Linked DNA regions of Drosophila melanogaster. The protein of the gene in region 2 interacts with the protein of the main gene of each other region in a pairwise test. Each region holds a gene or a part of one and is shown on either strand. Other genes may lie near its edges.

Region 1 (4,885 bases), on a different chromosome or scaffold from region 2:
ACACACATACTCTTTGATCCGTCAGGATGAGGATGTTACGTCTGCAGTTGATGGCCCTGCTGTTGGTGGGCCTGCTCCTGGCGCTGATCTCAGCCGATCCTGGGCCGCAGGACACGGAGGTGGCGCGAGAAAAGCGAGGCACCATCACCCTGGACTTTGGCCTGCTCCTGCGTAACCTGCTGCTCAAGAGCGCCCAGCTGTCCTCGGCTAAGGCCAATCTGGCGCGGACCACACGTCGTCCACCGACGACCACCACGACGACGCCGCCTCCGCCACCACCACCTGCTCCGATACGCATTCGTAAGCCCATCTGGCATCCGTTCTTCAGTTCCGGTTTCCTGCCCGGGGCCTTCGATGTGGACTACGCTGATCCTCCGGCACCACGACCTCCAGCGCCTGCGCCGCCCACTACACAGCCACCTAGACGCGTCCGACCGCAGGTGCGACCACGTCCACGCCCAACGACACTGGCACCGCCTCCTCCGCCGAACTATGACTACGACTATGACTATGATGCGCAGCCAGCGGCGCCAGCTGAACCTCCACCGCCTCCACCTCCTCCGCCGCCGCCCACAGCTCCGCCACGCCCAAGGCCACGGCCGCGCCCACGACCCCAGCAGCCCGATCCTCAACAGCGGCGTCCCGCCCAGCTGGGCGACCGCCTTATCTATCAGTACGCACAACCTACTGGTAAAATACGAAACCTCTTAACTAACTGCCGTACAATTGGGTTCTCTCCGACACTTTGCAGATACCTTCTTTAGGTCGCGAGCCGTGGCGGAGGCGACGGCGGCGGCTGACCCAGACAGCGGAGACTTAGTTGACTCCCAGGACCCGGACTCAGTTGCCGATCCGGATGCGGCTGCATTTCCTGTCACTGCAGATGGGCCTGACTCCCAACCTGCTTCTCCCCCACCAAGTGCTTCGCGATTTTTGGTCAACTACGAGAGCGATGACGACTTTGGGCAGCCGTTTGCTGGACAGCGGGCTCAGGATGCGGGTCAGGATGGGGGTCAGGATCAGGGTTCAGCGGGTGCTTCTGGTATTCCCGCATCATCCCAAGGCTACTTCCCGCCCCTCGAGCTTGGCAACACGAATCGCTTCCCAACTTTCAATCAGCAGCAGTACTTCTATAATTAAGCGGTAGAGTTTCTCATTTTTCCAACGTGGGCAATAAAATTAACTTCGCAGCTTGATATATTATGTGTATGTACATATGTATAGCTTATGTGTTGCAGTGTGCTTAAAATTGAACATAAACTATTTTAAATATAAGCATCCATTTTTTTGTATTCCCAGTTTGCATAGTTGTAAATAACATATCAAATAAAGTAATAATGTAAGTTCCCCGTAATTTATATTAACTAGGAGGGCGTTAAATAGCTAAGTAAATACCGTATCATGAAATTATCAGTATGTTTTCAAAAAGTGCGCCAAACTTGTTGCGATGAGTATCGGTATTTGACTTAGCGAACTGAGCTATTAAAAAGTTATTAAAAATTTGATACATATATGTGTTCTTCTAACATAGATACCCAACTGCGATTTCGTGAGCTGTAATTCTGCAGAATTCTGTATAAGTTAAATTATTGATTTTCAAACATTAAAAAAAAAAACTAATAATTCCAAAACGATAGCGTAACCACGGACATCACCACCCGGTGCACGTTCGATAGACTATCGATAGAGACCAAAAAACGAACCTTTTCTCTTAAAACTAATTGAATTGAGCGAATTCAACTATAAAAACGCCTCTGCAAGAGTTAACTTCGCAAACATATTGAAAAAAATAAGTTAATTTTAAATATATCGCCTAAAATCGGGATTTTTTAGTAAAAAGCGGTCAGTGGTAGTTTTTGGTTTCAAGCCGCTCGGCTGATCTGGTAACACTGTGTGCTGTGTGAACGTGAACTTTACGGAATTTAATTAGAGAAACGGGTGAAGAAAAGTTGCAAATAGACAATCGCTGCCAATTTTCCATGCCGTAGATGGGTGCATCTGCGACGTAACGATCCCCCGAATTCGGTGCTTGGCACTCGAGATGTGTAGCCAGTGCGGATTCGTGAACGCAACGCGTGTGCAGTGCAGGGCAATAGTTGCCATTCCCAGTAGCAGTATCACTACCACTACCAGTCCCATTCCGATTCCCGTTCCCAGTCGCAGCAGGGCCAATAACAGCAGCAGCGGTCGTAGGGAAAGCGACGTATGAAAGGGAAAAATGCATACAGATGCGAAAAGCGAGACCCAGTTGCGCCGATAAACAAGCAAGCACTAATTGATTGCCAAATGTAAGCCCTCGAACGCAGTGGAAAAAGTTCAAACGTTTTTTCTTTTTCGCCTCGCCAGATTTATGCATTTTCCACTGTCTCTCCATCCCTGTGTGCGTGTGTGCCTGTGTGTGTGAATGCGTATGCTCGTGTACGTGTGTGTATGTGCATACTGTTCTTTTTCGCGTTTGCGTTTTGGCCAATAAATGCGAATTTCTTGTGTGCCATCTGCCCATTGAATTAACAATGTGGTATTATCATTGATCCCACAAATTTCAATCAAATACAGCGCATTTGCGGGTTCTGAGTGCTACATCTGATTTCGGTGCGACGACTCCCTCAACGCGCGAGAACGGGATAGCACCAGTCGAACCATACGAATGTGTGTGTATTTGTCTGCTCCCCCGACGAGCGTGAGTGTGTGTGTGTGCAAGCAAAACAAAATTAGGCGATTCAAAACAGTTGCAAAATGCAGCGAAATAAGCCAATTTTAATCGCAACACATAGATCAACCATGGTAATCAGTCAATAAGTGGTCAGTCAACGAAGAAAACCAACAACTGGCGCAGCATCACCGCCTTCGTGCGTTCTTTTTCGGCTCCTTCGGTGTGTGCCTAGTCCGCACCCAAGGAAAAGCCAACCCAACTGAAAATCAATTCGAATCGCAGAACTCTTTGGTATTCTACTACAATTCCCTGTGACGGAGCGCCACAGCACAGTGCAAGCCACGGAAAAGGCACGAATTGAATTGAATTTGTGTCGCCCGAAATGCAAAACAACAAGCAATCCCACCGCACATATACATATAGAGCGCGCGCGTGAGTGTGTGTGAGCGACATGGCTGCTCTTTGTGCAATAGTGTGGTGGCTATGAAAAATAGGCGTGTTTCTGTTTCGCGTCGCAGGCAAAGAATTGCAGTCGCCGCACCACAGCGGACTAATTGTATTGAGAATTTTTGCCAGGCGGCGATAGGCGAAAGCCGGAGCTCCGACGGGGGCCAAAATCCGCGTCTTTAGCCGGCGGATATCCGCAGACGCCCGCAAAACGCCTCCGCATGCACAGACATGCATACTCCAATGTATGCATGTGTGTGTGTGTATTTGGATTCGCAACGGCGATAAATGCACCCCTTTGGTGCCGTTACTCCTTGGCAGCTCGCGTGTGTTTGTGTGTCAGTCGTAACGACCTTTGATTACCCTGCAGCACGTGTGCATACCCTACACCTAGCTAGTTAGTCCAGCTTGACCACAAATACCGCCCTACTGCACGTGCGCATCCACTCCACTCATTACTTGTTCGAAATCCAAGCAAATGAACTTAACGGCGTTAGTCATACCGACTGCCAAATGCCCTAGACCACTTACACCCCAGCTGTCGTAATCTGGCCAAAAAGCAGCTGACAAGTTGGTAACAAGCTGAGGAAAATAGCCTGGCCATAAAAGACGGTGCCAACAGTGAATATATTTGCGATAAGGCCGTGCTGCGTGCGGAATTCGGAGTTTTGAATGATTCGTACAGTATGTGCGAGCATGAATCACTTGATCGATTTGATGATAGTCGGCTTTTAGCTGTTCCCATCCGTCCGTCCGTTTGACCGTCTCCCCATGCAAATGCTGACCAAAGCACAGTGCCCACTGTCCACTGGCCCAGCCATTCCCGCTACGCCCCGTGCCGCCCAATTCAATTGGTCCGCAGTCTCAGCGTTTCAGCCTGAAATCCCCCAAAAATGTCGACCCTTTGAACATGACTAAGTGACTGGCGCAGGCTGTGAATGTGACTGACTAACCGGAATCGCCTTTTTTTCGCCCCACCCGATCCGCACAGAACTTCAAGACAGCAGAGTAGCCAGCTGGAGCTGCAAGCTGCGAGGAGAAGCACGCAGGTCGACCACTGAGAGAGCTGGGCTAGAGCATGAAAGACAGCCATGCCTTCGGCACGACCTGGTAGTCTCAAGGATCCGGAAATAGCCGACCTATTCAACAAGCATGACCCGGAGAAAATCTTCGAGGACCTGCGCGAAATCGGCCATGGGTCTTTCGGCGCGGTCTATTATGCGCGATGCAACCTCACCAGGGAGATCGTGGCCATCAAAAAGATGTCGTACACCGGCAAGCAGAGCCAGGAGAAGTGGCAGGATATTCTCAAAGAGATACGGTGAGCACTGGCTGACACTTGCGTTCGCCCGAGTGACTTCTAATCAATTTATGTGTACACAACAGCTTCCTTCGCCAATTGAACCACCCGAACACCATAGAATACAAGGGATGCTATTTGCGCGAATCAACCGCCTGGCTGGTGATGGAGTACTGCGTGGGCTCCGCCTCGGACATCATCGAGGTGCACAAGAAGCCGCTGCACGAGGACGAGATCGCCGCCATCTGTCTGGGCGTGCTCAGTGGGTTGAGCTATCTGCACTCGCTGGGCCGCATCCACCGTGACATCAAGGCGGGCAACATCCTGCTCACGGACAACGGCGTCGTCAAGCTGGCCGATTTCGGTAGCGCTGCCATCAAGTGTCCGGCCAACAGTTTTGTCGGCACGCCCTATTGGATGGCGCCCGAGGTGATCCTGGCCATGGACGAGGGCCAATACGACGGCAAGGTGGACGTGTGGTCGCT
Region 2 (4,169 bases):
CGCTAAAACCGGTGGCTAGGTACAGATTGTTGTAGTACGGGTGAGCTCCTAAAATGCCGTTCTCGTCGTATACGTTATGATCATAGCAGCCCGCCCAGCTATCCACCACTTGGGCTTCTCCAAGAACGGGAATTCTATTATACAAATGGGGTCTGATGTGCTGGGCGAAATATTGCGGATCAATCATCGCGCTATTATACTCTTCCGTCGAATCTTGCACGCAAATATAGTTGCCGCCCAGGCCATCTCTGCGAATAAAGATGCCCGACGGATCTATTGTCATGGGCATATTCATTCCGGGTGCACTTTGGGCCTGCGAGTTGATGGCGTACATGTATCGCTTGCGTGCGTTGATGGGCAGCGGAACCCGAAGTATTCCTGGACCCACGCCTATCCTTGCTAATCGCGCGATTTGTTCGGAACTAGCACCGGCGCTTATTACACACAGGGCGAACTTGCAAGTGCGTCGCGTACCATCGGGCAGTTGGATGACCGCTTTTTCCAAGCCCGTGTAGGCACCCTCGTTGGAACCAAGATCTGTGACAACAGAAATGTCCGTTTGGGATTTGAACTCGAAGTCGACCACCTGGCCACTGATAAAATGGGCGCCGTAGCCACTGGCTGACCGTCGGAAATTGCTCAGAAGTGCCAACGGATTAAACCAGCCCTCTTTTTCCAGACCAAGACAGCCCAAAGCGATGCCCTTGGTGTTTAGCCAGGGGAATCTGGCAGTCAGTCGATCTGCAGTGAGAAGTTCATTTCGGGCACCCAGTTCGTTTTGTAGCTGAGAGGAGCGCTTCAGGCTTTCCGCGTGCTCCTCGCCAGCGAGCATCAGATGGCCATGGGGCGTAAACTGGAGAGGCACTTCCTCGCCAAAGTGTTTTCTTGCGCTTCGCAGGAAGTCTGCGGCAAATAGTGACATTTGGATGTTTTCGGGCAGGGAGAATTGCTGACAAAGACCGCCCACCGAAACACGCGTGGCTGACTGGGCATACTAGAAATATGTGGAAGGCAAATTAAATATTCGGGGTAGACTGGTACACATCATTTTACTACCGTGTCATCCTTCTCGACCACCACAACGTTAAGACCGTCGCGGGCCTTCTCCTTCAGCCAATAGGCGATGGAGCTGCCCACTCCACCGCCGCCAATGATGAGCACATCGCAATGGGTCTGGAAGTCATCCGGCACAGTGGCTTCCTTGCTCTTGTCGCGCTCCCCTGAAAAGTGAAACTGGCTCTGTGTCGGAATGGGAACTTTCTCGGTCTCCGGTTCCTTTGGTACAAAGAACTCCTTAACTTTGCGCATATCGTTCCCGAGCAAACGGAGTGTTCGTCGTATGGGGTGCAGGTCTTCGCCGGATTTGTCGCCCCCGGAAGATCCACTTCCATTGCTCGTTGCTCCGGCCGAGAAATTACGGCGCTGAAGGAGACCCACCACTTGTCTGTACCGCAACATTTTATTCTCTTTAATTTTAATTTAATTCATATTCCGTATTAATTTTTTATTTTGTGTTATTTTGTAATAGTAATAACGTGCGATGTTATCGGAGTATCGATATCGAAAAGGCTTAACGGAATTGTGGTAATGTTTTATTGCAATTTAAATAAAAATACGCTTTTACTGAGTGCGTAACTTAAGAAAAGGCTTAACGGAATTGTGGTAATGTTTTATTGCAATTTAAATAAAAATACGCTTTTACTGAGTGCGTAACTTAAGAAATTCCTAACCCAAATTAAAGCAATAGATACATTTACTGTAAAACATTAAAAATAAATTCCTATAACATATGAGACTGAAAGTTCGCTCAGTGTACCGTAAAACGTATCGATAAATTGAAACGTAACGGCTTAACAGCTCTGTTAACCAACTAAATTTACCAGCACTGCCTGTAGCCGAAAACGAATAAGAAGAAGAAGCGACATTACTAGGCATTTTTGATTGGGATTGAGAAAAACAAAAGAAAAGTCGGCTATATTTGTGACCCCAGTAAATTGAGAGTTCCATTACAAAATGACCAACGCAACGGACATCGGTGCTAACGACGTGGAGATGGAGGTGGATCCAACGGCGGAGACGCTGGCTGACGAGAAGAAGAACCAAGATGTGGCCGCCGTGCAGGAGATCCGCGAGCAGATTCGTCAGATTGAGAAGGGGGTAGCCTCGAAAGAGTCGCGGTGAGTAGTGCAAGAATTAAAATCTTGTCCCTTCCTTATTATGGCTCATTTCCGCCAACAGCTTCATCCTGCGCGTCCTTCGCAATTTGCCCAACACTCGTCGCAAGCTGAACGGCGTCGTCTTCCGGAATCTTGCACAGAGTATTTACCCCGCTGGTGCAGATCGTGAGGCGGCCGTGGCTTTGATGCCCGCTGTGGAGAAAGACGCCACCGAGCTGCCCGATGTTCCCAAAAAACAAGTTGCCACCAAGGCTCCAATCGCCGAGGTCGATGCCTACTTCTACCTGCTCCTGCTGGTCAAGCTCATCGACGCCAGTGATTTAAAGCGGGCCGGAATTAGCGCCGACGCCCTAATGGCCAAAATCTCCATCCAAAACCGACGCACCCTTGATCTGATTGGTGCCAAGTCCTACTTCTATTTTTCAAGAGTGGCGGAGCTAAAAAACTCACTGGAAGGCATACGCTCGTTCCTGCACGCTCGTCTGCGCACCGCTACGCTGCGTAATGATTTTGAAGGCCAGGCGGTGCTTATTAACTGTTTGCTCCGCAACTACTTGCACTATGCTTTGTACGACCAAGCCGACAAGCTGGTAAAGAAATCCGTCTACCCGGAATCGGCCAGCAACAATGAATGGGCGCGTTTCCTGTACTATCTAGGTCGGATTAAGGCCGCTAAGCTGGAGTACAGCGATGCCCACAAGCATCTGGTCCAGGCCCTGCGTAAGTCGCCGCAGCACGCTGCCATCGGCTTTCGTCAGACGGTTCAAAAGCTAATTATCGTTGTGGAGCTGCTTTTGGGCAACATCCCGGAGCGTGTGGTGTTCCGGCAAGCCGGTCTTCGCCAATCTCTTGGTGCCTACTTCCAGCTCACGCAGGCCGTGCGTCTGGGCAACTTGAAGCGCTTCGGCGACGTGGTATCCCAATACGGACCCAAGTTCCAACTGGACCACACATTCACCCTGATTATCCGGCTGCGCCACAATGTGATCAAGACGGCAATCCGCTCCATCGGACTATCGTACTCACGCATCTCGCCGCAAGACATTGCCAAGCGGCTAATGCTAGACTCCGCGGAGGATGCCGAGTTTATTGTATCGAAGGCTATACGGGACGGCGTGATTGAGGCTACGTTGGACCCAGCCCAGAATTTCATGCGCAGCAAGGAAAGTACGGACATCTACAGCACCCGGGAACCGCAGCTGGCCTTTCACGAGCGCATCTCGTTCTGCCTGAACCTGCACAACCAGAGCGTTAAGGCCATGCGCTATCCCCCAAAGTCCTACGGCAAGGATTTGGAGAGCGCCGAGGAGAGACGCGAGCGGGAGCAGCAGGACCTTGAGCTGGCCAAGGAGATGGCCGAGGATGATGAGGATGGTTTCTAAGCGGCTGATTCTGCAAATTAATTTGTGCTTGCATTCATTTTTATAGAAATATAATCCGCAATTAAATAAGTTACAATAATTTCGGAACTTTTTTAATTAGGTATTGGAAATCAAAAATAGTTCAGAACTGATCTTTCTTTTTATTCAAGCAAAAAGTTGTATGTTGTTGTTGGTAGACAATCAAAAATTTCAATTCGGTTAGAAATGGAAAAACATTTTAAAAATGTCACTCTTCTGGCAGCCTTGGCGCGTTAATTTAAAACGAAGTCTGGCAACATAGATTCATATTCTTCTTTAGATCTTTTCCCTCCAAAGCTATTTTATTAAAGATCCCTTAAGTACATTGGCAGGACTTTTCTCTGATTGATAGAGGTAATTTATGATATGTAAATTATAGATGGAAAAGATGCAAATATTATTTCAATTACTTTAAACACGACCTTCCACAAAAAGCACACTTTTTCTGACGAAGGTTTTGGTCGGCAGTATTAACGGTCACACTGGCGCAAACAACACAAACAGCAGCCACGGTCACACAAATCAAAGTGGAAAAAATTTTTAGACAAAAAGGTGCACACAATGCAAATTAATTAAAGGCCGTGCGTATTAA

The links. The genes of interacting proteins can lie anywhere in the genome.
Region 1: the proteins of Rpn3 (region 2) and Tao interact in a two-hybrid assay, tested with the Drosophila melanogaster proteins (one large-scale study listed by BioGRID).

Annotation. Positions count from the first base shown.
Region 1 is NC_004354.4:19,576,801-19,581,685, reverse strand, and holds the start of Tao (Tao), read left to right. Parts: upstream 1-1,885; 5' UTR 1,886-2,288; intron 2,289-3,183; exon of another isoform or gene 3,184-3,784; intron 3,785-4,091; 5' UTR 4,092-4,191; coding exon 4,192-4,421; intron 4,422-4,486; coding exon 4,487-4,885. Other genes in the region: CG14218 (uncharacterized protein), read left to right, coding at 27-690, 752-1,140. UniProt on the Drosophila melanogaster protein: Serine/threonine-protein kinase which regulates the Hippo/SWH (Sav/Wts/Hpo) signaling pathway, a signaling pathway that plays a pivotal role in organ size control and tumor suppression by restricting proliferation and promoting apoptosis.
Region 2 is NT_033779.5:19,050,041-19,054,209, forward strand, and holds Rpn3 (regulatory particle non-ATPase 3), read left to right. Parts: upstream 1-1,749; 5' UTR 1,750-2,013; coding exon 2,014-2,177; intron 2,178-2,238; coding exon 2,239-3,559; 3' UTR 3,560-3,641; downstream 3,642-4,169. Other genes in the region: l(2)37Bb (lethal (2) 37Bb), read right to left, coding at 1-994, 1,057-1,458. UniProt on the Drosophila melanogaster protein: Acts as a regulatory subunit of the 26 proteasome which is involved in the ATP-dependent degradation of ubiquitinated proteins.